2 linked regions of the Rattus norvegicus genome follow. The protein of the gene in region 1 purifies or fractionates together with the protein of each later gene. This does not show direct contact. Links are inferred from orthologs where the notes say so. Each region holds a gene or a part of one and is shown on either strand. Other genes may lie near its edges.

The links.
Region 2: the proteins of Cdk15 (region 1) and Fkbp5 purify together in Homo sapiens (affinity purification with mass spectrometry; 3 studies listed by BioGRID and IntAct, counting the BioPlex papers as one, with this or other methods). This does not show direct contact. The link is inferred for Rattus norvegicus from reciprocal best matches to the Homo sapiens genes CDK15 and FKBP5.

What each region holds. Positions count from the first base shown.
Region 1 is NC_086027.1:68,287,146-68,303,152, forward strand, and holds the end of Cdk15 (cyclin-dependent kinase 15), read left to right. Parts: intron 1-6,291; coding exon 6,292-6,401; 3' UTR 6,402-6,410; exon of another isoform or gene 6,411-6,434; intron 6,435-9,383; 3' UTR 9,384-12,073; downstream 12,074-16,007. UniProt on the Homo sapiens protein: Serine/threonine-protein kinase that acts like an antiapoptotic protein that counters TRAIL/TNFSF10-induced apoptosis by inducing phosphorylation of BIRC5 at 'Thr-34'.
Region 2 is NC_086038.1:6,483,369-6,499,437, reverse strand, and holds part of Fkbp5 (peptidyl-prolyl cis-trans isomerase FKBP5), read left to right. Parts: intron 1-1,159; coding exon 1,160-1,304; intron 1,305-9,927; coding exon 9,928-10,070; intron 10,071-10,807; coding exon 10,808-10,922; intron 10,923-16,069. UniProt on the Homo sapiens protein: Immunophilin protein with PPIase and co-chaperone activities. Component of unligated steroid receptors heterocomplexes through interaction with heat-shock protein 90 (HSP90).

The sequences.
Region 1 (16,007 bases):
TCCACACAGGTGCTGTGGTATGACCGCATGCACCCTCTCATACCCCTCGGGCACACATACACAAAACAAATAAATGTAATGAAAAATTGAAAAGACTAAAGAAGCAAATAGAGGAGTGTCTGGTGTAACACATTAGTCACTCTCTTCTTTAAAGTTGTCCTTAACACATCCCCACATTCCAAGTGGAGATGTGGCTTTCCATGTTGCATACATTTGTGTGGCTAGGAGGTCCCTCAATCAATTAACCCTTAGTCCCACCAAGCCTGTGCAAGCTTCATAAATCTACTGGCATCACGGGTTCAAAGAGGCTCTGTAAAGATAAATCATTCCGGAAAGAATGAGACCTTAGGCAGGGAAAGGACCCTTAAGGCCGCTGACACTGGAGAAAAAAATGTCACCTTTCTTGGCATCTGTGGGCTTTTAAGTAGAGCTCACTGAAGCTAGGCGGGAATGACCACTCTCACATCACAGATTTAAAAGCTGGCACTTCCAAACTGTAGTGATGCATACCTGTGACCTCAGTACTCAGGAGGCTGAGGCAGGAGGATGGCGAGGGTGAGGCTAGGCTAGCCCACCTAGGAAGACTGGCTCAAACAAAGAGGAAAAGGAAGTTTGGATTGAGAGTGGAGTCACCCAGTTGGAAGTGGGGGAGCCAAGACTCACTCACATGAGGCTCTAGCCCAGTCTCCCCAAAATTCACTTCAAACACAGGAACATTATAGCTACACTGCTTTAGAGTCAAGGTCCACTCCCAGGTCCAGCTTGTCACTGCTCTGTTTATTGTAAAGCCTTTCTGGGAAAGGTTCCACCGTCCCTAGGTTGAATGGTTCACACATCAATTTCATACGTCATAGAAACTCACACCCCAGTCCCCTGTGCTGCGAGGTCCCAGCACTGCTGCTCTTGCTCTTTGTGATGCTGTCCACAGGCACCCTTGGGTCTTAGGAGTTCTTACTCAATGGCGGTCACTGTTTTTGTTTCACTCTGTAACCACCGTGCAAGAAAAACGAGAATCAAATGAGAATGGGAGAAAAGCATAAAATAGCAATTTATTCGAGAGGTACCAAAGCAAAGAAGCATACATCACGTGGGAGGCGACTCTTGGGAGGCAGGGTCTAGATAAAACCAAGTAACTGCCGAAGTTTCTTTCCTTCAGTCCAATGACTCCCCAGTGCAGGTGAGGTGCCAATCTAAGCATCTTCTGCTGACAGAAGTGGGGGTCAGGGACTGTGCCTTCCATCAATATCAGATTCAACCAATATGTTTGTCCCTGAAATTACCAGGCTAAACAATTGAGCAAGCCTAAAAATAACCAGCAAGCCAGGCCACGGCGGTGTACACCTTTGATCTCAGTACTCAGGAGGCAGAGGCAGGCAGCTTCTGCATTCTAGGCTAGCCTGGTCTACAGCTCGAGTTCCAGGATAGCCAGGGCTATATAGAGAAACGCCGACTCAAGAAACAAAGCAAAGCAAAACTTAGATGTATGCAAATGCGATATATATATATATATATATATATATATATATATATATATATATATAATGGTTTGAACATTACAAAGTTAAAAAATAAACAATTTAATTACTGAGCCCCGGAGAATGGATTGGATTAATATTAATGTGTTGCCTGTGCTGTATACCATTGAAGCTGCTCACAGGAGTGTGAAGTATATTGGTAGCACATAATAAGCACATAAGGCCATAAGCTACATAAAACCAAAAGAGAGAATAAGAAAGGATAGAAATGAAGGAGGAAGAGGAGGGGAGAAGGGGTCGGAGGAAGGGAAGGGGTGGGGGAAAGGGAGGGGAGGAGGAGGGGGAGGAGGAAAGAAGAGAGAAAAGCCAGCAAATGCCTTTAGCCCAGCACTCAAGGCAGCCACAGGTGGTTCTCTGTGCATTCAAGGCCAGCCTGGTCTATATATAGCAAATTTACAGGTCATCCAGAAATATACAGTGAGACACTGACTCAAAAACCAAAAACAAAATTGAGACTATAAAATGGCGTATTATAATCTACTTATGAAAGTTATTTGCATGTGAACAAACCTGAAAGTTAATATAGAGAATAAAAATGTTTTAGAATATTCTGGATCATTTTCCCTCCTTTCAGAATTTTCTGTAGTGTTGGTGATGCCATTTTTTGGTTTTAAGAATGGATTAAAGCAAACTGTGCAAGGGTTCTGAGCGCTGGACTGAGAATTAAAGGCCTATGCTTCCTTGTTCTTTTTTCCTTTCTCAAATCCCAGATGCACCACTGGCTTTCATAAGCCTTGATTTTTTTTTTTTTTTCCTATCTGCACAGTGGGTTAACACCAGTTTCTTTTAACCCAGGATGAACTGAATGTTTATGAAACCTCGGCTCACTAAATACAAGGGTTCAAGTAAGTGAGGCGAGACAGAGAGGAAAGACAAGCAGGTACTAATTAACGTAAAAAGAAAAGACCATCTGCTTTAGTGAGAGATGGGTGTGTCCCGCGCCCCTGGTCGGAGCCGAAGTGCACTCAGTGTTGGTTAGCAGTTTAAGGAACCCCGTGATCCCTTGGGTTTCGATGACATGAAGCTGCCATGTCCCCAAATGAGCCAAGACGGTGGCCTTCTCAGACAGAAGTGCGCACTCTGAGTAATCGAACACTCTGAGCAGCTGTCGCTGGTGGATTGATGATGTTCGAGACCAGCACAGAATCACATGACCAGGGAAACAGCAAAGACACTTTGCAAGGATGAATTTCCAAGCTCCTTGACTCTCCCCTTCAGCCGGCACAGACCAGGGAGGTTTGATTATCTCATTTCCTGCGGTGGTGATTCAGCGCCCCAATCCCATTAAGCCACTTTCTGCACTCCAGTGCACAGGTCTTCCCCAGGTTATCAGCACGGGCAGAGTAAACGGAGACACTGGGATCGGATTTCTAAGGAAGAGAGTCAAAGCGAGGTTTGAAAGGGGTGACAGCCAGCTGCCAGGAGCCCAGGAACTCAATTAGACTGAGAGACAACTATCTCATTATTTCCTCTGAAATGATCTAATACATAAGAATCTAAAAGTTTTAAATAAACTTGTCTTACCGACAGTCTAGATGACTGAATTTCCCTTCTCAAAAAAACTTTTTAAGCACCCACTTTCGTATTTATTTATTCTAAGGGCAAAGCAGCTGTGATAATTACGCTGTCAGATTCACTAAGCTAATGAGCAGTCACTGGAGTGGAAGGGCTTGCCTGGCTGAGATCACTGAGGGAGAGCCGTCTGCCGCCTCCCGGCTTCTCTCCTCTCTCCTTCCTCTCTTTTTCTTCCTGGCTTTTACATTTTCTTTCACTGTGACTTAGCAAGGAGAGTCTGGCAATCCACAGCCAACTTGAATCCTTTTGATTAGTCTCTCTCTCTCTCTCTCTCTCTCTCTCTCTCTCTCTCTCTCTCTCTCTCTCTGTGTGTGTGTCTCTCTCTCTGTCTGTCTCTCTCTCTCTCTCTCTCTCTGTCTCTCTCTCTCTGTCTCTCTCTCTCTCTGTCTCTCTCTCTCTGTCTCTCTCTCTGTCTCCCCCTTCCTCCCTCTTCCTCTTCTCTCTCTCCTTTCCTCTTCCTCTCTTCCTCTCTCCCCCTCTTCTCCTTCCTCCTCTCTTCCCCTCCCCTCTTCCCTCCTCTCCTTCTTCACCTCCCCCTCCCCTCCCCCCTCCCTTTCTTTTCCTCTTCCACTCCATTACTACCCCTGCTTTAGAAAGGCAAGGAAGCCCCAGGGTAACCCAAGCTTTTCATGCCACTGTCTCCAAGGCAAGAAGAGATTTCTCTTGGAGACAAACTCCTAAATCAGCTTGGATTTGAGTTGACAGAGTCTGCTAAGTGTACACAACGTCTGTTTTAGCTGTTTAACTGTTTATGCTGTGATGTGAGTTGGAGAGTAAAAAAGGGAATATCATAGCATCCCTGTGAAAAATGTCCTATTTGGATCAGCAAAAATTAATCCTCCTCCCCATTCCAGCCTAGCAAATGTATTATTTTAAACCAAAGATGTCAGTCAGAACTGCAGGTTTCCCACAGCATTGATTTATTTACAGTCACAAGGCGGAAACAGCCAGCCTTCCACAGTGTACAGCATTGCTAAGCTCTGACGTCCTACAAGTTAGGTTTGCTAAATGCTTATTATCGTTTTGATATAGGGTCTTAGTAAATGCATTTTTGTATTTGTTTATTTTGGGTATTTTGTCTGCATGTGCTTCTACACACCAGAGAAGTCCAGACCAAGCAAGGCAAGGCTGACAGTGCAAGCTTCTCCCTTCCCCTTGGGTGTGAACAGCTTCAAGCAAATGATATCATTACAACATGTTATGCCTTTGGTGTGCCAAACATAGAAGTCTGTCTCTGATAAATTATGAGCTATTCAGACCAGGGGCCTGGAAAAACATGGCCTGCATGTGAGGACGCTGAAGGCAAGTTCTGTGCACACATTTGGTGACCAGGGCTCCTGCTCTGGTCTGCTCATGCCCCCAGCAATGACAATTGTTCAGTGCCTACTTTGTGGCAGGAACTGTGGAAGTCGCCACACACATGTTCGTTCGTGTTTAGCACACAGCTATCTGCTGGGAAGTTTCTTCCCTCTCGTGCAGATGAGTCCCTTAACTGAACGTTAACTTAGGAAGGACCTGGCTCGTCACCTCAATGAGTGTTCACAGAGACCAAGGGTGTGTAATAAACACAGGTGTCTGTGGAACTGCAAACTGCCAGGGTGCCCACCAGTCAAATACAGGCTTCTCCCGATGGGCAATGCTTTCATTTAAGAGTTGATTCGACATTATAATAAACTGAAAGCTATATGCATTCAGTAGTAACCATAAAATGGGCCTTCCGTGCCCCTGGGTTCCAGGACTGTCTGTGCCTGTCAGTTTCAGATTCAGACAACTCCACAATTCAGGGGGAAATGTGTCTTAACACAGAAAGTACCTAACATAACCAATTTTCTCTTGTCATTGTTTTCTTTAAGATGCTGTGTAACTATTTACACAGTGTGTACCACACTAGATGTAATTAATAATAAATAATAATAAAGTAAAATAAATAATAATAAATAATAACCACGGTAGTTCTAGAACCAGGGCCCATGGGTGCCTTTATTCCAAGTTTTGGTCATTTTGGGATCTAGCAATGCACTTTTTCCACACTGGGTTGTGGCAGACTGTTACAAGTTCCCAGTAGCACAGTCACAAGGCGGAAACAGCCAGCCTTCCACAGTGTACAGCATTGCTAAGCTCTGACGTCCTACAAGTTAGGTTTGCTAAATGCTTATTATCGTTTTGATATAGGGTCTTAGTAAATGCATTTTTATATTTGTTTATTTTGGGTATTTTGTCTGCATGTGTTTCTACACACCAGAAGAGGGCATCAGATCCTGTGGGACTACAGTTATAGCCCATTGTGAGCCACCATGCAGGTGCTGAGAATTGAAGTCAAGACTTCCGAAAGAATGGCCAGTGCTCTTAACTGCTGAGCCATCTCTCCAGCCTTACTAAGTGCATTTTTGATGGAGCTGGAGAGATGTCTCAGTGGTTAAAAGCAAGAGCTGTTTTTCCAGAGGATCAATTCCCAGGTTCCATTCCCAGCACTCACAGCACATCTGTACCTCCAGTCTCAGGGGACCTGATACCCCACTGATCTCCTGCCTCAGGCCCTGCATGCACAGTGCACAGACCTACACAGAGGCAAAATACCTGCACATATAAAGTAAAAAATAAATTTAAAAATACACTTTGATTTATGATATTTATTGTCTTTCTTTTATGCTGGGGATTGAACCCAAGAATTTACAATGGCTTACCAGGATATATCCCTATGGTAAGCCAAGGAACATCTGTCTTTGTAAGGATGTAAGGATGAAGGTACTACATAAAGATATTTCAAAAAAACTTAAATTTATGAAGGTCATGCCTTAGAGTTTATTTAGACTGTCTTCAGAGACAAAGGTATCTGACAAGGTTTTAAACCTTCCTTAGGCTATCCAGCCCACCTGATGCCCTCGGCCTGACTTGGTGGGAGCACAGTTAACACACCTTGGCACACCGCTGGGTGCCAGATCCTTCCCCAACTTCATCCACTAGTGTTTGGTGAGTGTGCACTGAACTGAATTAAATAAGGAACATTTGACAACTATCGCAGATTCGGTAACAAACCCTGAGTCAGCATAAATTAGGAGTGAGTCTGCCTATTTTGACATCTCTTTGAGTAACGGATGTTACAACAGGCAGACAAAATACGTGTCCTGTGGAAGAGTTCAGGAAATACTATATCAATGCTCTTCTCTTTTCCTCCCTACAGAGGAGTCTCTCTTTGCAGTTTCCGGAGTGGAGCTAAAGCCAGAAATGTGTGACCTTTCTGCCTCCTACAGGAAGGGACACCTCCTAGCCGGGGTTAACAAATGTTGGTGAAAAGAAAAGGTGAGGTCATCTACGTCTTTGCAGGTGAGCGGCCAGAACCACGAGCAATGGATCAATGGATCTCTGATGGAGGACGGAAGTGTCCGCCCCTGTCCGGGGTCTAGAACTTTATCCCTACTCCTAGGGCAACCTCCTTCAGAACCCCACTCCCTAAGCTGGAGAAGGGATGAGGATGTGCATGGCCACTTCTACTCCCGGAGCTGTGGTGGACTCCTGAGTAACAGCTTGAAGATGTCCACCAATACTGGTAGAATAAAAAGCTCCTGTGACATCGTCTTTTTCTTAGCTAGGCAGGCCTCTGTGTCAGCTGGCAAGACACATCAGGGTGAAAGTTGACCAACAGACCCACTTTCCCCAAAGGCTGCAAGGTTTCCTTCCTGGGGTGCGGGATATTCGGTGCTGAAGTGACATTTCTTGCTAAGTCGGGATCCTTATCATCTCAGTGGTGAATTCTCTTCTCAATCAGTTTCAAGGGGCAAAGGCTACAATGGTAGATTTTCCCAGAAACATTGTGCCCTAAAAGGTATTTCATGCACAGCTAGCTTCTGCCAGCATGCACAGAAGGCTGGCAGAACACTCCCCAAAGCCAAGCACAGACACACTCAAGTGTCTCAGGAGCACTTCCTCTACTGAGCCTCTGCCCTGGGTAGGAGGGACAGTAATCTGGGTAGAGTTAAAATGAAACCAGGTACAGGGCCAGCCAGCCCTCTATGTGTCCCTGGCCAGATTCTAAATCCTAAGTACTATTCTCTGATAGGACCACGTTGGCAAGCACACCTTGGCCATGTCTCCTGGTGGAAACCCCTGGGATATCCCTTATGTGTGCACCCGAGTGTCACTCACAGGGAGGTCTCCTGTTCTTTGTGACTTTCTTGTTGATCTCTATCTCTGACTTTCCCAATTTAAAGGCGTCTATGAACCAAAGACGTCTGCCGTCTGGTTCTTCAGCAATGGCTTGTCTTTAAAAACCAAGGAAGAAGTTTAGAATTAAAGCTATTTCCCAGAGCATTTTATAAAAGGCCTAAGTTTTGTATCTTGACCATGCACAGTTGAAATTACCATCAGCAATATTAACCATGTGGTATTCCCTGTGCAAAACATTTTCTCGAGTTTTTTGAGTTTTGTTTTTGTTTTTATTCCTGTGCCATTTCAAACTAACTAGTCAAGAGCAGGATGAACTGAACTCAAACTACAATCTCCAAGGTGAAGGGTTAAATCCCTCACACCATTGTCAAAAAAACAACATTCCTTCTTGAACTAAAGACTGAACCCAGGGCCTGGGGTGCGATAGGCAAAAGCTCTAGCTGCAGCCTCATCAAAAAAACGCTCCAATGTTTGCCTGCCTTGGTGTCGCTATTGCTTCTTTTGTTGCTACAGACTCCTCCTACTTTTAAAAAAATATTTAAATTTTGTTGTGAGTGTTCTAGCTTATGTAAGTATGGGTATCACATGTACACCTGGTTCCTCAGAAGGCCAAAACCTGGCACCAGATCCCTGAAACTCGAGTGACAGACAGTTGTGAGCCAGCTTGTGTGGGTTTTGGAGAAGCACCTGGTCTTCTGCAAGAACAAGAAGTGCTTTTAGCCACTGAGCATCTCTCTGCCCCTGATTTCCTCTTACCTAAGCAGCCAGAAGGGAGGCAGAAACCCTGCCTTTCTGATCTACAGGGGACTCTTACAAAGAACAGCTACCTATAGAGTAAAATTGGTCACAATGGAAAATCAATTCGATACAGTATGTGGCACTCAGTTCTAGCAATGGCGGGAAGGAGGAGGCAGACGTGGCCTCTGTAATCTTGTGATATCCCTATGCTTCTGTTCTAACACAGAGATGAAACCTGTGGGAGATGAAACACAACTGGGAAAAACTAGAACACGTAAACTGTTTAGTAAATGACTTGGGGTCTAAGGAACCTAAATGGACACTGGGGGTCTGTAAATCTTTTCCTCTGACTCTGATTTATGTTAAAATATTCACTTTTCAAGAGATTCCAAATATAGATTTGGGTATTAGGACTTGGAAACTGGCAGCAGTTCCTCAAAATCAAGACTTTCAGGAGAGCCATAAAAATATCAGTTTGGGTCTTTTAAATTTTTTTTTCTTTTTCTTTTTTTCGGAGCTGGGGACCGAACCCAGGGCCTTGCAGTTGCTAGGCAAGTGCTCTACCACTGAGCTAAATCCCCAACCCCAGTTTGAGTCTTTTAAATAGATGTTGGTGCCCACAGCAAAGACAGGTCGAGGAGCTGAAGTGCTACACCAGCCCCTGTCACAGGTGACTCTCGTGTGTCACTTTATAACCCACAGATGTGGTGACATATAACTGTAGCTTGTGAGGTCAGAGAGATATTTTTAAATAGTTTTAACCTGCCTCTGCCTCTGCCTCTGCCTCTGCCTCTGCCTCTGCCTCTGCCCCTGCCCCTGCCCCTGCCCCTGCCCCTGCCCCTGCCCCTGCCCCTGCCCCTGCCCCTGCCTCTGCCTCTGCCTCTGCCTCTGCCTCTGCCTCTGCCTCTCAGTTGCTGGGATTAAAGGTGTATGCTACCACACTCTGTTCTTTTTAAGTTTTCCTGGTTCTCATTATGATGGACACAATGATGCTTGTGGCTGGAGAGGTGTTCAGTGCTTAAGACCACTGGCTGCTCTCTCACAGGGCCAGGTTTGGTACCCAGCACCCATGTGGTGGCTGGCAACTGTCTGTTACTTCAGTCCCAGGAAGTGCAGCACCCTCTTCTGGCCTCCTTGGGTCCTGCATATGTGTTACACAGACATGCCTGCAGGCAAGAAGCCCACACACATAACAATAAGAAACACAATGACTATTTTAAGAAGTTGCCTCTGCAATCTTTTGTATCACCTTTAAAAAAAACCCAGTGTGGAATTCCGTGGGTAACTGAACTGGTGCTTAACCAGTCTCCTCTCCTCAGTCTGCGTCTTCTCTCTGTCGTTTGACTTTGTCCATCCTTCTTTCCCTCTCAGACCTGTAGCCATTTGGTTTCCTGTGTCTGCTTACTAAGAAGCTTCGTGCCCTCATTCATACTGGATCAGAGATCTGTGTTCTCTCTCGCTGCCTGGAATGTTTAAAAATGTTGAAGGCAACGGTACAACACACAAAGAGAGTGCAATGGAAGGTTATTGCTGTTATTGTTGCCTTAAAGAAAGAAAAGACATAAACTGAGGTGACGTGAAAAGAGCTAGCTCTTCAGAACAGTTTCAACCATTTTGATGAGTCCCTGGGCCCAAAACTCTATTTCTTTATGGGACAGACTGGGAGACAGACAACTGGGAAGTTCTAGAGCCGGAGCTGGTAATTGCTGAGGTCTGCCATGCTTGTATTCCCTTACAGTCCAGCCCACCCCCACCCCCGCCCCAACTGAAAGACTTCTGTGGCGTGGAGGGGATTAGTCTGGCTTAGGGAGGTCTGTAGGAACGTGGTCCCTTGGATAAAGTTGTCAACAAATGGACTTGCTTGGGACTATTTGTGATGATTCCAGGGTTCACTCTTCCTCCTCCAGTGGCTATCACAGTGTTTACTGCTTAAGTACACCCAGATTTCGGGAGTTCAAACTGGGCTGCCGGCTAGAGTTGAGTTTCAGCTCTCACCTGCTACCGAGTCCTAATTGTCTTCAGAGATGGCAAAAGCGACAAGGAACCTAAGCTCCCACTGATGATGGAGATACTGGAGCTCCAGAGATGCAATTCAATCGTGGGGCACCACCAGGCACATGTGCACACAGAGACCCCTCAGCAGGAGATCCGCCCGGCTGATACACTCGTCCACTAAAGGAAGCTTGGGAAACTCAAATTACTTCATCAAGGGATCATCTCAGGCAATATAGTAGCCTAGAAACCAGAGACCACTATGTATCCTTTAGGAGGACGAACCAATTAAGAGAGAATTTAAAAATGGTAACTATCCACCCAGTGTCTGAGATGAAAGAAGGGGGGAAAAATGCATGCAGATAATCCTCCAGAAAGCCGTCTTTGTGTATATGAGCAAGCCATTGGACAAAACCTGCCCACTGCACCTGCAAGGTGAAGTGTGTGGGCTGGGTGGGGGCTGACAGGGTGTGTGTGTGCGCAGAGAACAGATCGTATTCAACCTAGCAAGATGCCAGTGCGGATATGGTGTGGGATTCAGACCTGTTCCGGTCAAGGATTTTCAGTGACTACTTGAATAAATCAGAGAAAATGCATACCTTATTCTTACAACTCACTGAAATAACTACTATTATTATTCCACCGTATAAGCGTGGTCACGGAGGCTCTGAGAAGTTAAGTAATTTCTCTAAGGCGCCATCCCAGGGTTCAAATGGAAATTTCGAGGCTTGCTGTGTCCAGCGTCTGAGATCTTTCCGGTAATCACGTCTCTATCGGATTTGTAGACCATTCTTCTGTTGAAGAGGCAGCTGATGTTTCCCATTGGATCATGATTCGGGGGATGCAGACCCGGATAATCAGCAGCAAGTCAAAACAATGCTTACTCCCGTCAGGTTTTAATCTGATTTAAATTCTTACACGTTGGGTTTTAAATGCCCGCAACTTAAGTAAGGCTGTGTGACTTAGTGGGAAGTGGTGCTTTTAAGTATGAGGTGAATTAATTACGTAATCTAGCTGCCCCCAACAGATAATGCTAATCCCTTCAGGCTACAGAAATGAAAGATTAAGACCATGCCGCACAAGAGGAAAAACCGCTTAGCCACTTCTGATCCGGGCACATTTAAATCATTAAGCTCAACTCCACATATCACATACCACACTTTAAAGGAAGCAGTCTACGAAATAGATGTTTATTGAGCACCTTTTAGTTTGTGGATCTAATCTTGTGTAATCTTCTTAACAACGCTAAGACATAGTCAAGTGTACAGAGAACACTCAGTATCAGATGTAAGTCGCTAGGGTTTGATGTACAAACTCTGTCCCCAAAGCCTGTTCTTCCCCAACACATGTCCAACTCTGCTGCATGCTCCAAGGTGGGCCACCAGGAAGAGCAAGGCATGCGGGACAAGCTGCTGTAAGGGAAAACCCAGGAGCCAGAGACCCTCCTTCCAGTGGTCACAAGGCAAAGGGGCTGGTGGGCCACTGCACGGATCGCTGCTGCTCTGGGTGGGTGGACCAGGAAGCCTCTCTAAACTCTCGCCGGCCCATGCGCATAGACAGAGTCCCCGCCACAGAGGTGGCTTCCTCTGCCTTCTGGACGGTAAGGAGGGCAATAAGCCAAGGTTCCTAGGTGGAAGTAAGGATTCTTGCAGATTCTCGAACATGGCCTCAAAATGTCTGTGACAGACTGGCTGCATTGGGGTGTCTATACGGTCCTGTAGCTGCAGAACAGACTTGTTTTATTATCTATGAAGCACTTTTTTTTTTTTTTAGTTAAATGAACAAATTATCTTCTTTCGCCATGAGGTGGTGATGTACACCTTTAATCCCAGCACTCAGGAGGCAGAAGCAGGCAGATCTGTGAGTTCGAGGCCAGCCTGGTCTACAGAGTGAGTTCCAGGGCAGCCAAGGCTTCACAGAGAAACCCTGTCTCAAAACAAAAGACGAACAATTATCATCTTTAATTTTAAGTGGAAGACAAATTATCTATGTACTTTTTTTCTCTCTCTTTCTTTCAATGGGTCTGCCTATTGGAAAGATAAATAAAAATTATGCATATGTCTCTAAAACATTGAAACTTTCCTTCATTCCTATTTTGTAAAAGCTTTCCTGCTATTTGTGCATCTTTCCTCCCACGACAGACACACACTTAACTCTTTAAAACATAATCATTTGACTAGGAGTACTTAGCCATTACTGCTATTCCTTTGGGATTTCTGTCTCTGGACCATCCATAATCAGACAGATGTCCTAGTAACAGATGTACTAGTAACAAATGGTACTTCCTGCCTCGTTAGTGGGTGGGGGAGGAGAGGACATCACGATTTGTTCTGGCCAATGGACTGTGAAAGGAAGTGATGGGCATGTGGGCGGAGCATTCACTGGATTCCCAGAGCGAGGCTCTCAGATTTGCTATGTTTTCACTGCTATATGGGACTGAGGCACTCAGGGTGAGCCTTGGGTGAGGAGATAAAGAACGGAGCTCCCAAATGACACATACAGTGGGAGAGAGAAATAAAACTTTCTGGTTGGGCTGGAGAGATGGGTCTGTGGGCTAAAAGCCCACACTGCTCTCGCAGAGGCCCTAAATTAACTTTCTAGTAGATCCCAACATCACCATCAAGCATCTCGCAACCACCTGTAACCCCAGCTCCAGGGGATCCAATCCCCTTTGACCTCTGACAACACTTGCATTCACACATGTACCTATCATCCCCCTTACACACATACATACACACATACACATACACATACACACACACACACACACACACACACAAAACAAACAAATAAAAAAATCCACTATACCCCTTTAAGCTACAATATCTTGAAGTTGTTACTAAGTATAATTTAAACTTTCCTGACCAGGAACATAAAACACAGACCTGACTGAACTGTTCAGATTTGGTGATGAAAGTATTATATATTTCTATCTTTTCTTTATTTCTTTTGCCATTGTTGGCTCTGGGATTGAACCCAGGAGCTTGTGCACACTAGGCAAATGCTCTCCCACTGGACTACATCCCCAGCCCTTAAATATTTCAATTTAAGTGATTCAGTTAAGTCTAAAACACCAGCCCCTCCGTCTCACATTCCCGGGGCTCAGGAGCCATGTGTGGCTGATGCCGGCCGTGTGGAAAGTTCCATCACGGAGGACACTCTGTTGGACAGTGCTGGCAGAATGGCAGGGTTTTATGAAAGTTGGTAGTGACACCTGCTAGCATCTTAGTGTTTTAGTTAAATGCATCTAAAAATACCTTAGAGTTAGTCTCTAAACTTTCGTCATTTTAAAAGTGAGAATGACTCCGGGAGAAAGCTGTGAAGATTAGCTTATAGAAGAAAGCCATGCATTCTGAGCAACTAGGTGTTTTAGATCCAAACAGCTCAAGGTCTTTCCCTGAAGGTGACATCTTTTGGTTACTCTTAACATCTTTCATAAATGAATCCCCAAGGTACTGTTTGTTATCTTAGCCCATCTTCTCAGAGCCTCTGAGCCTCAGATTTTGTACTTCTAACTCTTCCCTATCTCTAAGAGGGACAGTATGTACTGAGACCCGAGGTACATTATCATCAGCATTGGAAGTATGACCGCTGGATAATGCAGGAAGGTATTGTGGGAGTCCAAAATGAACAAGGCTATAAAACTATTCATCCTAAGCTACTGACTCAGTCAGCAAACATCTGAGAACTAGAAACACAAAATAACTAACATTCTCCTTAAGGGGACTTATGTTGGCAGCACATATGCTAAACTTAGAGTCATATAGAGATTAGGAAAGAAGACGGACACTGTACAAGAATGATGAACTTCGTCTCTCTCCCTCCCACTTCCCCTCCCTCCCTCCCTTTTTCTGTAGCACTGGCAATCAGATCAGGACTTCACACAGGCTAGGCAAACACCCACCGCTGAGCTATATCCTGGCACATTCCATGTTTTCTCATGTCAATACCCTGAGGATGGACTTGGGGGATCACTGGACCCCTTTATGCTCCTTCTAGCAATGTGCCACACTGCCTCTCTGTGTGTCTTTCTCTGGGTCTATCTGTCTATCTGTGTATTTGTCTATCTATCTATCTATCTATCTATCTATCTATCTATCTATCTATCTATCTATCTGGTTTTTGCAAGACAGAGTTTCTCTGTGTAGCCCTGACTGTCCCGACTCACTCTGTAGACCAGGCTGGTCTCAAACTCAGAGGTCTCCCTGGCTCTGCCTTCAGAGTGCTGGGATTACAGACACCACCACCACCAGGCTGCCTTTTTAAATATTTAAACGGAGTGGTCCTACTCTGTAACCTGGGCTGCTGGCCTGGAGCTCATTGTGCTCCTCCTGCCTCAGCCTCCTGAATGCTGGGGTTCCAAGCATGCGCTCCCACACCCTGCTTCGTGTGAGCATCATTTTACATCTCACCGGCTGGATTGTCTCATCTCCAGCCTGAGACCGTTCCAGGACCACAGATATGCGACTCTGTCACAGAAGGAGAGCGGTGACTATTGGCTGACGTGACATAGATCTCCTCCAGTGATTGCCTGTGGGGTCTCGTAGGTAGGGCTGGAGAGGGCAGTGGGAGGTGAATAGCTGACAGCTTCCTGTCCTGGAGTCTAGGCGGCTTCTTACACCACACATAGTCAAGTAATGAGTTTGGAAGAGAAGGCTATGAGCTCCTGTCCAGTCCTCTTGAGTTTGAAGTACTATGCACCTCAATCAAACTGTTAGCCTAATTGCAGAGAATGGCTATGTCTGGAGATATATATATATATATATATATCTCACCTGATAAGGCTGTCCTTGAAATCACCAGATGTGGCTGCCCAAGAGAACATGCACAGAGAGGAGATACCAGGAACTATACCAGACCCACATACAGTCGCTGGGAGAAAAACTGACTACACCAGACCCACAGGGGAGGCATGCGGGGAGGGCAGGGGGCCTGTGAGAATTGGCAACAGAGAATGCCACTTCCCCAACGGCCCTCTGAAGGCTTGATCTCCAGTGCCATCTTTAAGCTGTGGCTCTGAGAGGCTGGCTCTGTGGCTCAGTGGGGAAGAGAAGTGCTTGCTGCCTTCTCAGGGGACTCAGGTTCAGTTCTCAGCAGCCAGGTTGGGTGGCTCACCACTGCCTGTGACAACCGCTCCAGGACTGCTAAGGGCACCTGCACTCCTGTGACACACGTGTCTCCAATCCCAAATAAGTGAAATAAATCTTTTTTTTTTTTAAAGTGGTATCTAGCACACGGTCTTTGGGCTTGGGGTCACTTCTTTTCTAGCAGCAGGGATTAACGCTGCTTCCACAGAGCAAATCAGTTACCTCAAGAACACACTTGGCAGAGTAAGCCACCACGAATGCTCACAGATGGTTTCTCTTCACTGTCACAACACAGCCAGGGTGATGTCACCTGGCCCCTGACTCCATGTTATTTGGATTCTATAGCCATCATAACTGTGTGGCAAAGGAAGCTCTGACTTCATAAAATACCCTGTCTCGGGTAGTTTATTATAGCAACATAAAACAGGCTAAAAAGACAAAACAGTAGCTGGTAGAAATTGTCAGCTCACGACTGTTTGTAACTCCAGTCCCAGGGCATCCAACACCTTCTTCTGATCTCCGCAGACACTGTGCACACACATGGTGCACAGACATACATGTCAGCAAAATACCCATATATGTGAAATAAAAATAAAAGCTAGAAAAAAATGTAAAAACGGCAAAAGGCCGTGCATTCCCCAACTGTATATTTTTAAAGTAGGAAGCGCAGAGTGAACTGGGAAAGGCCAGGATTTTTTGGCTTCTGATCCCTGGTAGCTTACAGGAGAGCTGCACCCATTGTAGAAAAGCACAACAGATTAAAGGAGTTGGCCAGAAAACAGAAGTCAGAAAGTTCCTCCTGAAAGGACAGAGGAGATGGAATAGCAACAGAGACTGAGGGCGGAGGCTCCCTGTGAGGGCCAAGGCTCCCTGCACTGTTTGTTTGGCTCAGGAGAGATGATGCTGAAGGAAGCTG
Region 2 (16,069 bases), on another chromosome or scaffold:
AAGCGCTCTACCACTGAGCTAAATCCCCAACCCCTATGTGCGGTTTGAAGTTCTTTAAGTTATAACATCTGTTAATGTCTAGACTCCTCAAGTCACCTTGGAGCTTTTGATGAAGTCAGTGCATTTCACAGCTCTGACCGGGAGTATTTGTCAACCTCCCTGGGTTAAGTTTCCTGTTTGTAAAGTTTGTAATAATAACAATAATCAAGAAAAATATAAGTTGGTTTTACGTTTTTCACATAAATTAAAACTAGATTTTTATCTTTAGACAACTTAAGACTTAAGCACAAGTGTCGTCTTGCTGGGGAGACACACACATAACAAGAGGACATTATCACATATCCTCTGCACCACCGAACATGGCCCCTTTGGCACAGATGATTGACAGGCTGAATTGCACCACCACACACCTGGATTAAATTTTCTTTTCCAAGAACTGACCAGTTGTATTAGCAGCTTGCTCTGACGAGAATAAAGGAAATATTCTAGATTTTACAATGGATAAATATTTTTCAGTTTGAAGTTCTTCATTTTTTTCCCTGTCCTTTGTCTTTACTAGAAGACAGGCTTCTGCTTGATATTGTTGAAGTCTGTATTTTCAGACTGTGCAGACAGTGGAAGTCTAAGCTGTCATGTCGGAGCATATAGTAGTCGGAGCCTATCTTTAGCAAAGGACAGCAGTTTGATTCTTCGCTGGAGCTGACTGACTGACTAAGTGTCCAGCAGTCTTTTGGCTAATTCAGTTTGTGTACCTGATGCCTGCTCATGAGTCTTGTCTTTTGAGAGATATTAGCATCAAGTGTGGGGCTTTCAACCAACCACATGTGGTTTACTGGCTGATTCCATTTTGTCTTGTTGGAGAAAAGGTTTCACAGAATAACCTAGCTGGCCTGGAGCTTACCATGTAGACCAGGCTGTCTCCGCAGTGATCCTTTTGCCTCTGCTCTGGCTTTCTGTTTTGAGAGAATACTGTGGAGAGCAGTAGTAATAACTGTAACACAAAGGGCCAGTGAAGACAGTTCTCTGAGAGGAACAGAGGATCCTCGAGGGACTGCGGGGAATCTGCCCATCTGTCTGGATGTTGGGGAGTAGCCCGGGTGGCCTTTGTACCTTTTACAAGTGCAAAGCTCTACACTCTTTTCTTATGTTTGTCTTCTAGATTGTCAAAAGAGTGGGGACTAGTGAGGAGACCCCAATGATTGGTGACAAGGTTTATGTCCACTACAAAGGCAAGTTGTCGAATGGAAAGAAGTTTGATTCCAGTCGTGACAGAAACGAGCCGTTTGTCTTTAGCCTTGGCAAAGGTAAGCAGGCAATGTTTTCAGTGTTTGTTTAGGTTTGGTTCTGTTTATATTCCACTGAAGGAGTGGAGCCTGTCCCTGGCAGATGCCGTCCCTGTGGTCTGTTTGCATCACTTTTTGTAGCAGCGTGAGGATGATGCCATTTTCACTTCCTGACACTCACACGCAACCTAAGACCTGCAGAGGCACAAACCGTGGGGACCTTTGTGGGTGTCAGTGATGTCGTCTCAGCAGCCCATGTCGTGTTGTCACTGCCTCTCCTGTTAGGTGTCACCTCAGTGCTTCATAAGTCAGCACATGACACATATGGTACAGCTCCTGGGTGGCCCTCAGCTTGTGCGCACGGCCCTTCTGTGCACCCCTACCCTCAGGAAGCTGCAACCCTTTCAGCTGGGAAGTGAGCTAGCTTGGTGCTGCTATGAACATTTTTCTTCTTGCAAAGACGGTCTGACTGTTGAGACTTGAGAGGTATTTCCTGAAGCAGAGTGAGAGAAACCCATCCTCTCGAGGAAAACAACCAAGCGGAAGCTGCAATCACAGCTTCAGGTAAAAACCGGTTTTAAAAAATTTGTGGCTGGGGTTGGGGATTTAGCTCAGTGGTAGAGCGCTTGCCTAGGAAGCGCAAGGCCCTGGGTTCGGTCCCCAGCTCCGAAAAAAAGAACCAAAAAAAAAAAAAAAAAAAAATTTTTTTTGTGGCTGCCGGGGCTTAACAGCTTCCTGAAACGTAAGACTTTTCTGTGAGCGCAATGGGTACTAATGAGTGTGACTTTACTTCTGGACAGTGAGATTTGTCACTATTAGAAGATCTGCCTAATAAGAAATACTCAAGTTAATTAAAAAAAAAAAAAATCTGCCTAATTCAATTAGCCTGTCTTTCCCAGGGACCAGCGCAATATATGGACCGTCAAGTGTGGACAGGCAGTCCATTCAGGCTGGATCAGGGCTTTAGCAGAGTACAGTATGAACAGTCCTTTAATGCAGCTGACCTTCTGAACCTCCGACACTTTTGATAGTCACCTAGGAAACTCTGTGACACTGCCCGTCTGCCTTTTCCCAGGTCCTTGTGAGTTTGCACTTTTCTACATCGTCGGTCAGAAACAAACGAATGACTTCCTCTTGGCTTATATTAAGTCAAACATATTTCACTTTTGTACAATTAAAAGTGACAGCTCTGGACTGGGGTGCTGCTCTGTACTTAGAGCATCCAGAGCTGAGTGTGACCTCAGGGTAGCACCTGTGTAATCCCAGCACTTGGCAGATCAGGGTCAGAAGCACAGTGTGCTGTACAGTTGACCACAGAACGAAAAAGGTAAACCAGCCCAATAGTACACACCTATCATCCCAGCAGTTGAGAGGTGTCCCAGTTAGGGTTCTGTTGCTGTGATGAAACACCACGACCAAAGGCAATTTGGGGAGGAAAGGGTTTGTTTGGCTTACACTTCCATATCACTGGTCATCATTGAAAGAAGTCAGAACAGGAACTCAGGCAGGGCAGGAACCTGCAGGAGGACACAGAGGGCTGACTGGCTTGCTCATCATGGCTTGCTCAGCCTGCTTTCTTAAAGAACCCAGGATCACCAGTCCAGGGACCACCCACAATGGTCCTCACAATTGAGATGCTCTCCTCTCAGATGACTCCAGCTTGTGTCAAGTTGATGTAAAACTGGCCAACACAGGAGGCAAAGTAGAGCTCTGAGTTCAAAGCTGTGTTGTACCTCACAGCAAGACCCTGTCTCAGGAAAAGGGGAAAACTAGCCAAGCCATTTAGATAGATCTTGTATTAATATTGTAACAGTTGCTACTCCGTCAAAATAAAGAAGAAATAGAAGTAGAAAGTAGCATAATTATTGTCTCTGGAGTCCCTAGTCCCTTAGAGTGTAGGTCTCCCAGGAAGTACACAGAAATATTCCAAAGAGAAGGTCCAGGCAATTTTGGGATTCTAGTATGACTTCGGTGTTTTGTTTGGTTTTGTTTTGTTTTAAGATACAGTCTTCTCTATGTAGCCCCTCCTGTCTTGGACCTTACTTTGTAGCGTAGGCTGGCCTCGAACTCAAAGTGGTATACCTGCCTCTGTCTCCAAAGTGCTGGGACTAAAGATACGCATCACCACATCTGGCCTGAGATTAGTATTTTAAATAGGACTATTATGAGTAACTATAAAAACTTTATTGAAAAATGTACATAAATAGAGCACTGCTCTCCCCCCACTGTGTGCCCACTGCCCTTCCCCTACTGTGTGCCCAGTGCCCCCTGCCCCCTACTGTGTGCCCACTGCCTCTACCTCCTACTGTGTGCCCTCTGCCCTCTCCCCTGTTGTGTGCCTACTGCCCTTCCTGTACTGACTTTTTTTTTTTTTTTTTTTGGTTCTTTTTTTTTCGGAGCTGGGGACCGAACCCAGGGCCTTGCGCTTCCTAGGTAAGCGCTCTACCACGGAGCTAAATCCCCAGCCCCCTGTACTGACCTTTAAACTCCAAGTTCATTGTCTACACTGTGAATAACTGCTCTTATTATAAACCACTGTATAACGTTGAGGTGAAAATACCACATACCATAGCGTACATCAGCCCAGCACAGTAAAAACTATTGTAACCTCTTGTGTCGTAACTCTCCTTACTGAGCAGTCATATAAAACCTTTTGAAACGATGCTTAGCTAACTTTTTTTTTTGTCCCAGGAAGTTGGGAAAGAGAAACAGAATCAGTCTAAGACCTGGTTGTTAGCACAGTGCGCTGTGTTCCAGGATAGAACGGGACAGTTGCCCTTGTGTGCTCGTGTTAGTTTTGATTTTGTTTGCAGTGCTGTTGTCCACTTGACTTTTTTTCTCTAAAGCATCCTTCCTTGATTGTGAAGTGAGACAGAGAAGTCCTTTCTTCAAGTCGTCATCTATCTCCAGCATTCTAGGAGGTAGAAAATATCAGTGTCCAGTTCTCCTAACAGTGTTGAAAAGAATTCCTTTTCTAAGGATGTCTCTTGTCACCCCTGCTGAAAATCACTGAGTGTGCAACTTTTAAACATATGCCTGCGTATAAGATCTGAGTATGTTTAGAATCTGACAGCATGAAAGTGGTTTTGTTTGTCCATGTGGAGACAGGTGGAGGCCCACAGGTCTGTTCACTTGCACACAGTGAACTCACACCTCAGGTGTGAGGCAGTGCAGTGGGGGGAGAGAATGGCCCACAGCATGTGTGTGCGCATGTGTGTGCGCATGTGTGCTCCACACCTGCTGCTCTTCTCTGGGCAAGGACGCATGGCAGTCTGTAGGGTCTGTAAACACAAAATGCACGATGATGCTGTGAAGTTAATGTGTAACAGAAATGTTATACTTCATACATCTCATACTCCTAAGCCTACAGACACTTTACGTCACACTCAGTACACTTAATGACAGGACTGAAGCTTGGCAGTCGCGCACACCTTTCATCTTCCACTTGGGAGGCAGAGGCAGGAGGATCTGTATGAGTTCCAGGCCAGCCTGGTCTACAGAGTGAGTTCCAGGACGGCCAGGAACACACAGAGAAAGAAGCTCTGCCTGAAAAGAAACAAAAAAGAGAGATTAGAGCTGGAGAGAGGGCCCTGCAGTTCAGACCCTGGCTGCTCTTCCAGGACCCATTAATTCCCAGCCACCGCCATGTAAGCGGAACACTAATGCGCATAAAATAAGGGAAAATAAATAAAATAATGTTAAAGAAAAACACATTTAAACACCGAAGACTCGGCCGTGATCCAGCAGTCTGCTGGGTAGGGATCAAAGGGACTATGCAAAGGTTCTCATGTGCACACACACGTTAACAGCGATGTGGACACTGTGTCCAGGGTGGAGGCAACTGAAGTGTCCTTCTGCACCTGACCGAAACAGAATGTGAAACCGCCGCATGGTGGATCATTATGCAGGTCCCTCCCCTCCGCCCCACCTTTGGTTTTTTTGAAACAGGGTTTCCCTGTGCAGCCCTGGCTGTCCTGGAACTCACTCTGTAGACCAGACTGGCCTCAAACTGACAGATCCTCCTGCCTCTGCCTCCCGAGTATTGGGATTAAATGTCTGTGCCACCACACTTCATTGCTCAGTCCTAGAGGAGAGGAAAAGTCTGGCACATGCTGCATCCGTGATGAACCCCAAAGACATTCTACTAAATGAAAGAATTCAACCAAAACGTGAATGCTGTTTGCCTCCACTTGTATTATGTGTTTATAGAAAAAGAATGTTTGCCGGTGGCTGAGAGGAGGGGGTATGTAATCAAGTATAAAGTTTCAGATGGGTAAAGCCAGAAGAAGAACATTCTGGAGGCAGGCTGCGTAGCAGGTGTGTGTAGTCATATCAAGTGCACTTTGTTCAATCACAGCAAAACCTGTTTGAAGCCAGGGGAGCTATGCAGTAAAACCGCTAGTCCGTCCATTATTAATAAAGTCGTTTTCATTATAAAGGGAAGTGTTTTTTAAAGTATTGTGTGGGTTTTTTAATAGTAATATATATATTACTACAGAAGAAAGAAAAAAATATACCACATGGCTCTTACCCTGGCTTAGTGTAACATTTTGCTTACTTACTTGTGTGTGTTGTGCAGATGGGTGTAAGGTTCACGTTTGTATGTGTGTGTGTGAAGATCGTGTGTGTGTGTGTGTGTGTGTGTGTGTGTGTGTGTGTGTGTGTGTGTAAAGATCGGCCTTGGAGCTGTCCGTGCTGCTTTGAGGAAGGGCCTCCTCCCCTTTGGATCTAGGACTCACCCATTCAGCTCCACGTCTCTCTCTGCTTCTCGCACTGGCTTAGCAGCACTGTCCCTGCGCCTGGCTTTTACATGGAGCCGGGGCTGGAACTCAGGGCCTCACACTTGACCTGCAGAGCTATTTCCCAACATTGCCTTTCAATTCAAATTCCTGTGTCTTTGTAGATACAAGAGGTGTAAGTATGTACTATTTGATATTTTGTTACAAGTGGAATAGAACTCCTAAAATTGAAACATTGTGTTTGAGGTAGTAAAATTGAGACCCAGATCAAATGTAGGAATAAAAGTCTTTTTTTTTTTTTTTTTTTTTTTTCCGGAGCTGGGGACCGAACCCAGGGCCTTGTGCTTGCTAGGCAAGTGCTCTACCACTGAGCTAAATCCCCAACCCCAGAATAAATTTTTTAAAACATTTTTTTGGCATATTCTGTCTACAGGAAAAAGATCCTAAAGAGGAAGACTCTTTGAAATGTTGGTGCTTCTGGCCCACTGGTTCTCCTTCTAGCGTTTGGTCTAGTTTTGTTTGCAGATACCCACAAGTGCCCTGGGCATTGACCCTCCCCAGCCACAGACCACCAGGAGCACGCTGCAGTTGGACAATCTAGGTTTAGTCCTTTCCAGAAAGGTACACAGTAGGGACGTACAGGATTGGAGAGTGCGTGGCAGGAAAGTTGTTGGTAGCGTTGTGGGCTCTGGTGTGATCTGGGTAGTTCTGGACAAGCAGAGTAGACAGGGTACTGGGTGATCCTGGGCTGGAGAATGAGCCTGGATTAACCCATGGTGGGATGCAACAGTTGCCCAGAGCAGCCATGAGAGGGGGCTGTTTGATATATTTGGGTGCACAGTGACCTTATTTTTTATCCAAGCTTAGATGAAATGTTAAGTGTTCTTGTTTTGTCTTGAGGTGGTGTTTTATACTCTTGTTTGTGCGCAGTGGCGACTGAGTTGGCCTTGCTCTGAGCCCCAGGCTCACCTCAGACAACAGCCTGGCTGCAAATGTCAGCACCTGGCCATTACCTGGGACTGCGTTTTTATTTCTCTTAATAAGAGTCATCTTTAACCTAATACCCAGGTGTACTTTTTCCAAGTATTTTGTTTCAGTAGATTTAGGAAACATCAAGATTAGTGGTAAAGAGGGAGAGGACTGTGTGAGAAACTTGTAGGACACTCGTGCAGATCTGCCCCAAGAAGTGCTGAAAGCCCTCTTGGATGCCACTGAACTCGAGGCGGTAAGCAGTTAAAGTAAGTGGCCTTCGGACACTCCACCAGGAGTGCCTACATATTGATCCTGCATTGTTCAGGTCTTATTCTGCATTAAAGGAATTTTTCTCTAACCTGGAATGGCCATACTCACAGACAAAGCCGTGGCCACTAACATTCCATGAATTAGCAAGCTGGCCATGTTCTAAATTTTAAGATGTGTATGTTGTTTTGCATGATTCTTCGCTTAACAGTTTAATGTCAGCCAGTCCTGAACCTCTCAGTTACAGGCTTTACCACAGAAAGTCAGTCAGACACACGATTGTTCACTGGCATCTGATGGTAGCAAAGGAAAGTATCGCCCTGAGCTAAAATGGAGTGGTCTGGTTAGTAAAGGGCGAGTGTTCAGACAACATCAAGAAAGCGGCTTTTATAACGTGAGCGGTGTTGAGAAGCTGCAGACCAAACAATGAATCAGCTCAGTTCTCAGAATAGCATGTGAAAGTCAACATACACCAAACAGAAGCTATGTGTGTAATTTACAGGTGACAATTTCCTTGGTTGCAAGGATTTCAGAAGTTTTCAACTAGTGTTCTCTACGTTTCAGTGTCTTCTTGGCGCTGCTGTTTAGAAAGCTGGTCAGGGAATGAGGTGGTTCCCACCTGTGATTCCAACAGCAGATGGGAAGGGGGTGCAGGCAGAGGAGGAGAGGGTCAGGGTTATCCTTGGTAATGAAGAAGAAGGAGGTCAGCGTTGGGGCACCTAAGACCCTGTGTCAGTAATGACAGCAGCGTCGGCCCAGACCTTCCTGTAGTAACTCCTGTGCATTGCAGGATCCTGTGAGGGACAGGAGCAGGGCTCACCTTTAGAGCCCAGTACCGTTTGCCACCAGTTCTTGTGACACGTGCACACATGCAATAAGTAAAGTAATCCATTTTAAAAGAAGAATGGAGATAGATGGGGCTGGTAAGGTGACCCCTGGAGCCCTGTCAAGGTGTAAGGAGACACTGACTACAAAGTTGCCTTCTGACCCCCACGTGTCCACCATGGCTCAGGCACACATCCTACACAGACTGTACACTCCTCACATGTGCACGCCTAAGGAGTGACATGGAGGAGCACTGGTTAGATCTGTGATCCAGCACTTAAGAAGCTGAGGTAGGAAGATTATGAGTTTGAGCTGAGCCGAGCTGTATAGTAAGACCCTGTCTCAAATGACCAAGAGAGAGGGTTATCTGTGGTGGTGGCTGCAGGGGCAGCTTTCCTTTACTGAATTGGACTAACACCAGACACTGCGTGTCACTGTGCCGTGCATTTGGACTGCGGCTCTTATTAAGGTTCCCAAGTCAGGAAACATTGAACTTCACAGGTTTTCAAAGACCTCAGGTTGGAATCCGGCACGTTGAACCCCCTACATTGCATATCTCCCCTCTAGTAACCCAGAAAGGAGATGACATCATTAAGTGAAAAGGAGTTCAGAACTGAATGACAGCACACTGCCATAGGCTTTTCTTTTCTTTTTCCTGTTTTTGTATTGTTTTGTTTTGACTTTCAAGACAGCATCTCACTGTGTAGTCCTGGCTGTCTTGGAGCCCTCTCTGTGGACTAGACTGGCCTTGAACTCAGATCTTCCCGCCTCTGCCTCCCAAGTGCTGGGATTAAAGGTGTTGCCGCCACCACCTGGCATGTGGAGTCTTATGATAAGCATGTGCTGTGGAAAGTTACAAGGAAGTGGAGCTGGTGCTCTGTCATGACAGAGACTGAGCTGAAGTCCCAGATAGCAATCGCCTTTTCTCCTTGCCTCCATACAGACAGGGTCCCTTGGTCCTAGTGTACCGGGTCTAGTCTGTCGCTCTACTTCCTCTGAACTTCACTGTTTATCCGGTCCTACTTGAACATGTTTGTGTGTGGAAGTCAGAGAACAACCTTACAGGAATCAATCTCCCCCCTTCCCCCCACCCCCCATCACTTGAGTCCTGGGGATCAACGTCAGGTCAGCAAGCTCGTCAGCAGGTAGCTTTGCCTGCGCATCTCTGTGGCCCACATGTCTAAGGTTTTGATTGACATAGCACCTCAAGTGTGTTTTGTTGTTAGTGCTAAAATTCTTTGTTGTTTCCCAAAGGGTTTGAGACTGCTTACAATAAGACATAGTTTTGTTTTATTTTATTTCTTTTTATTTTATGAACATTGATGTTTAGCCTCCATGTGTATCTGTGTGAGGGCATCTAGTCCCCTGGAACTGAAGTTACAGACAGCTGTGAACTGCCGTGCAGGCACCGGGAATTGAACCTGGGTCCTTTAGAAGAGCAGCCAGTGCTCTCCACCACTGAGCCATGTCTCTAGCCCCTAAATGAGACATGATTAATGGTGCACATGACAAGAGCTAAGAGTATGACTCAAGCGTGGTGCACACACCTGTCATCCAGGAATCTGGAGACGAGGTGATCAGCAGGATTAGGAGTTCTAGGCTAGTTTATACGGCCTGAGGCCATCTCAAAATTTCAAAACAACGACTTGTAAATATAACACGGAACAGGTTGCCTGCTACAGCCCCACAGTTGGGCGGTAAAGCTGAGTTTCTGAAGCTGGCAAGAGAGGAAACTTCCCAAATTTTATAATCCTTAGGATTTGTCGGATCTGGATTTTGTTTGAAGATTTTGTTTGACAGATTTGTTTGTTTTTTTCCTTTGTTTTCTTGCTTTCTCTTAGGCCAGGTTATCAAAGCCTGGGATATTGGGGTGTCTACCATGAAGAAAGGCGAGATCTGCCACTTATTATGTAAACCAGAATACGCTTACGGCTCTGCTGGCAGCCTCCCGAAAATTCCCTCGAACGCAACTCTCTTTTTCGAGGCAAGTATGTGTGTTGCCGCCGCGTCGGCTGTGCTGTGCCGCACCGCAGAGCGACATGGAGCTGGGCTTCCGCTGAGAGCTGAGAGCCTGCTCCGGCTTATTTATTTTGGAGCTTGGCTCCTTGAATTGTTTCCCACACACCCAGGGGATGTGCCAGTGCTTTCTTAGAAATGTGTCTCTGGCACAAAATGGGCATATCCAAACAAACAAAAGACGCAGATGTAGAAGTAAAAGTTCTGGTCAGCAGAGGAAAGTAAGACATACTCCAAGCTGACAGGCCGGAAATGGTGGTGGGGAGTGTTAAGTTGTGAAGGTTTACGACTGTCTCCTCAAATCCATCAGGATCAGTGAGTGTTGGTGCACTGTTTACTGTGTTGAATTAATTACATATAATTGGCCAAACTGGATCTTTATCTAACATGGTGAAAAGCTCATCTCAGTTGGTTGAAGGCCAGATTCTTAAATCTTAAGATGGAAACGCCACAAATCTGGGTGGGAAACGGGTGTCCTGCGAGTCAGCCAAGATTGTTCTGTGCCAGCACCTTGTACTTCTGGCCTCTGGCCCACAAGGCAGTTGTCCTAGTATTTCCTGTCTGTCTTTGCACTGCAGCCCCACAGGATGAAGTCCTAGACAGTGCCATTACACCGAGTTCTCTCCAAGCCGTGTGCATCAAGATGTAGTTTAAAGTTCTATAAAATACCCATCTGTTAAACTGGCTTCATCTTTTCCGTTCTAGATTGAACTCCTTGACTTCAAAGGCGAGGATCTATTTGAAGATTCAGGCATTATCCGGAGAATCAAACGAAAAGGAGAAGGCTACTCAAACCCCAATGAAGGAGCCACGGTGGAAGGTAAGCAGTGAGGACTGCAGGAGCCGGTCCCTCCCTGAGGAGGAAGTCGTTAGACTCTCTACAGGAAGAAGAGAGGCGATTTAAACAACCAGAGTGGTTGTCCTAACTTTGGCATGTACATACGTGTCACTCGGGGTTTGTTCTGGAACAAAGATGACCTCAGACAGGAGCAGGAGACTGGGGTCTAAGGCTAGCTGGACCTCTGCGCCCTCACCCCTTCCTAGACTGAGGCCGTGCTGGGGTTCTTGGTTTCAGAGGCTCCACTGACAGCCCCAAAACACCCTCAGTGGGAGTCACGTTTATGAAAATTGCAAGGATTAGAGAGAGCTGTAACAGCCACTTAAAAACTTACTCGTAATATGGTTTCATCTTTTATTATGAAAAATTCAAATCTACACAGCAGTTTCTTTTCTGTGCTATGGGAACTCCCCCAGAGTCAGTGATTCATAATAATCTGTTCTGTTTGATTGATTTGACAGAGCGTTTGTTGAGAGCAGGAGGTTAGCGCCATCCCTGTCCCGCTCCCGTTAGTTACCACACGGACTCCTTCTCTAGTCTGAATTCACGTTCAGACTCTGGAGCCGCATTTAGCTCCCGTGGCTTTATTCCTTTCTAATGAGTTAGTCTTCTGTCTTTGTTTCCTGTGACTTTGACACATCTGAAGATGACTCTCCATTTGCTGGAGAACACCACGCTTTAGGTGTGTCTCATGCCTGTAGGGACTAGATGGAGCTTTTAGAGAATGGCCTGTGGGTGGCGCGGTGCCCTCTTTAGTACTTCATCTCCACCTCCTCCACCACCACCACCACCACCTCCTCCACCTCCACCACCACCATCACCACCTCCTCCTCCACCTCCTCCACGACCCCAGCTTCTACTGGTGAGTGCTGGGCGAGGGTAGTGCCTCCTGTGTTTCTCTCTGTGAAGTTACTCTTCGTAAGCGCTGAGTGAGGCAGGAAAAGGAGTGCTGGGAGGCCACCAACCTTTACACGGCCCACGCACTAGCGAGGTTCCGTACAGCGGCCATTACTGTGTGTGTGATTTATAGCTGTATGTTGTGTTCCACTGCAAGGAAGAGCTGTCTCTTCTCCCTCCCTGTGTTGATTTTGCTGTTTAATTTGTCAGCACACACTAGGGGGATTGTCTTTTCCAGTAAGATGCTGACCGTGGAGAGTGTCCTCCCTCCCATGGGCTCTGTTCACTGTGTCACTGCCTTGCTTGTTGTTTGTAGAGAACACTGTTAACTGCTTTCACTTTGTCTCCTCACTCTATGGTGCTGTGAGAGGCTCTAAGATCACTTGAAAATCCTGCTGCTCCAGGCCTGGGATCATCCCTTTCACCAAGGAGCTGTTTCCTGCCCCTGGAAAATAGCATCTAGACACTGTCAAGTGCTCGTGTGTGTTTGTGTGGTGGGACTTCATGCTCCTGGAGCTCGGGAGTGTACTTCAGAAGTGTAGACAAGCATTTGCACAGGGCTCTGTTCAGCCACATGTGTATTTAAAACATTGAGTACTGGGCAGAGCAGGTAAGAGCACTGGCTGCTTCCTCAGAGACCGACGTTCAGTTCCCAGCATGTTCATGGCGGCTCACAACTGTATAACTCCAGGCCCGGGGAATCTTAAGCCCTGCTCTGGCCTCTGAGGGCATTAGGCACACATGTGGTACACAGATATACACGCAAGCAGAATGCTCATACATGTAACAATTTTTACAGTGCCATATACGTACAGTGCCACTCAGCACCACAATTCGTTCTCCTTTGCTCATCTGGGACTTCTCTTTGCAGTATAGCCACAGTTAGTTTACATCTGCAGGCCCAGCTGTGTGTCAGGTCGCCCATTGTGGTAAATACCAAGAGTTTCTGGGTTTCTGGGTAAAACAGAATGGTCAGGCATGGGCTACATTTGGACTTTGGAGGTCTTAGTCTGAACTATGGAGTCTTGCGATTACTCCCTTGAGCATCTGGTTGTATTGTGTGTAAATGAGGCTGATTTTCCAGTTTGATTGTGATAGGTGTGACATGGGGTCCCTCCGATGTGACAGGCTTTCCCTTCTACCCCTGTGCTGTGTTCATAACTTGTGTGCTTCCTTCACCGGGGCTTAAGGAAGGAATCCTGACACCGTCTGTTTCCTGCACCAATCCCTGGTGAATCTGTGTGTAGTGATAGTCTCCGTCTTGGTGTGTTTCTTCTCAGTGGTGGTCGGCTGTGTTTTTGCGTGAGTGGCTGGTTGGAAGGCTGTACACCATCATCTGCTGCTGCTTTTCACATTGTGACATTTATTTTTTTCTCAAAACAGTGTGCTTTTTTACTCTTATCAAAATTCTCATTTTTACAAATCAGTTGAAGCTTCTCCTGTGCTTTTTCTTGCCAGGTAAAATGACTGTCGTACTGCTTGTGTTCTGTGTTGCCCTTTTCCATCATAGAGAAGGCAGTGTGCTCTGAGGGCTCTAGGGGGCGTGGTCGTGAGGACTGACACTTGCATCATCACACTTGTGTATTCGCTTGCCCTGGCTGCATCGCCACTCGAAAACTTTGCAGTCAAAGACCATCTAACTGCGCTGAAGCAGAGCTCTGAGTAGCTCCCGTCCCTCTGCTGTGAGCTCCTATTTTGGGTTTCAGATCGGTGGTGTTGGAGGTGGGAACTGACCACAGCAGCATCGTGGGCTCCTGGGCTCTTTGGCCCCAGGCTTTCAGCTCCTTTTGAACGGAGCTGCAGGGCATGGTGCTTTCAGAGCAGAGTTTCAACTGAAATCTCCCGGTCCCTCCCTCCTAACCAGATGAAATGCTATATAGGTAGAGAAGGAGGGAGGTACTCGAGGTGATGCATACCCTGAAACCCAGCACTCTGGAGGCTGCAGTTGGAGAATCTGTAAGTTCAAGGCCAGCTTGGTCTGCTAGTGAGTTCCAGGACAGCCAGAGCTACACAATGAGACTCTGTCTCAAAACAGTGAGAAGAGAGAGACAGAGAAATGGATTAGACATGGGAGCTTATGAAATGCATACATACATGGGCTTAGACGGATGGAGACTGCGTTCTGTAAATCCAGCCTGAAGCAGGCGCTGAGGAGACCTCTGTGGAGGTACACGCTGTTCTTAGCAAGTGCAGGCAGAACTCCAGACTCGCAGTCAGCGGGTGCAAGGGAGCCAAAACAGGCTATGGGGAATCATCAGGGCTGCTATCAAACAGTATGGGGCAGCCAAACTAGTAAGCTGCTCTACTGCACGACCCTCAGCCTTGCCTAGTGAGAGCTATCTCAGTGCCCAAGCCTCCAACCCGTTAGTAAGTCTCAAAGGAGAGACTGGCAGAGGCAAATATTTTAAACTCCCCAGTGACTCCAGTTTGCAGCCAAGGCCTGGAAATGAACTGCCTGAGGATCTGTCTCGTGATTTTTTTTTTTTTTTTTTTTTTTGTTCTTTTTTTCGGAGCTGAGGACCAAACCCAGGGCCTTGCGCTTCCTAGGCAAGTGCTCTACCACTGAGCTAAATCCCCAACCCCCTGTCTCGTGATTTCTGCTCAAAAGCTAAAGCCTGGCTCCAGAGTGCAGCAGGGGCAACTCAGAGGCTGCAGGTGTCTGCCTTGGGCTGGGCGTGGCAGCGCTCCACAGTGGTGAATAATGCTGTGAAGAGTTCTGTCTCTGGAAGGTAGAGCCGTACACCAGCAGTCAGGCAGGGCATCCCCAGCCTGTGTGTATAGCCTAAATACATAAGAAATCTTGACCTGTCTCCTTCACAATCACCCTGTTGGGAAGAAGCTGTCATGTTGCCTGCTTAGGATGTCAGTGACAGGTAGCTGCCGTCCTTTGAACATCTTCAGGTGTATGTGTGCAGACGGCAAGGATTGGTCAGCAAGTGTGAGAAGATATAGGGCAGATACAGAGAGCGGGAACACAGAAGTAGTTAAAAACTAACAAAGCCAAAATCCTGTCCAGACATCTCTGAAAATGGAAAGGAGATAAAGAAGTCTGGAAGCTAGTGTGCGTCAACACCGTGCATTTCCGTGTGCATTAACACTGAAACTCCGTAAGAGCCGGAGTAAGGTGGGCAGTGCCTCTCACCCACGCTGGTGAGCTGAGCAGTGGGCAAGGAAGGAAGACCGGTGTGGGGACCAGTGAAGAGGAAGGAGGGGGAGTAAGGGTCGTCTTGTCAGTCATGGGACAGAAGATCTGCAGAGCAGGGTTGTGTGGAGACTTGCACAGGGCAGGTGGCAGTGGAATATGCTAGAAAAATATCCAGGCCAGCAAACAAAACACTTGAGGACTGGAGCTTAATGCCTGGTACCCATGTTGGGTAACACACAACCATAACCCCAGTTGCAGGACAGCTGATGCCCTCTTACTCCCCCAAGGCCTCTGTACACAGGTGCACACACACGCACTGCACACATGGTGTTGAGCTCACTGGCCATCTGGTCTAATCAAATCAGAGTCTGTGAGGGACCCTGTTTTAAAAAAATAAGGTGGAGCCTAACATAGTGGCACCTGTCACTGGGAGCAGAGGCAGGTGGATCTCTGTGAGTTTAGGGATAGCCAGGGATGCATGCATGAATGAATGAATGAATGACAGCAGTCAAAGGCACCAGGACTCATAAAGTCAAAGCAACATGGTCAGGCTGTTTGTTCCCTGCACATGAAGGAAGGCACACATACATGAAATTGAGGTAGAGTAAAGGCTTCATGTATGTTCATGTATGTCACACTAATGTCCGAAAGTGCTGTGTTCTGTTGTTCAGTTGCCTTTCACATACTGAGTGATGGCAGCACATGACCACAGGACGAAATCACGGGGTTGGTTTGGTTTTTTATTTAGTTGTTTTGGTTTGGTTTGGTTTGGTTTTCGTTTTGAGACAGGGTTTCTCTGTAGCCCTGGCTGTCCTGGAGCTCAACTCTGTACACCAGGCTGGCCTCAGACTCACAGAGATCCACCTGCCTCTGCCTACCAAACACTGGGATTAAGGTGTGTGCCACCATCGCCCAGCAAAGTCAGGGGTTTTTAAACCATTCATTATTTCTCAGAAAGCAGCACTGTGCATTCTCAGTCTAAGTGTGCAGTGTTCTCTCCCCTGTGTTTTAGATGTAGGTAGCTCCTTTCTCTAGAATGTATCTCCAGGTCTTCAAGTGGGGTCAAATCATAATAAAAAATACAACA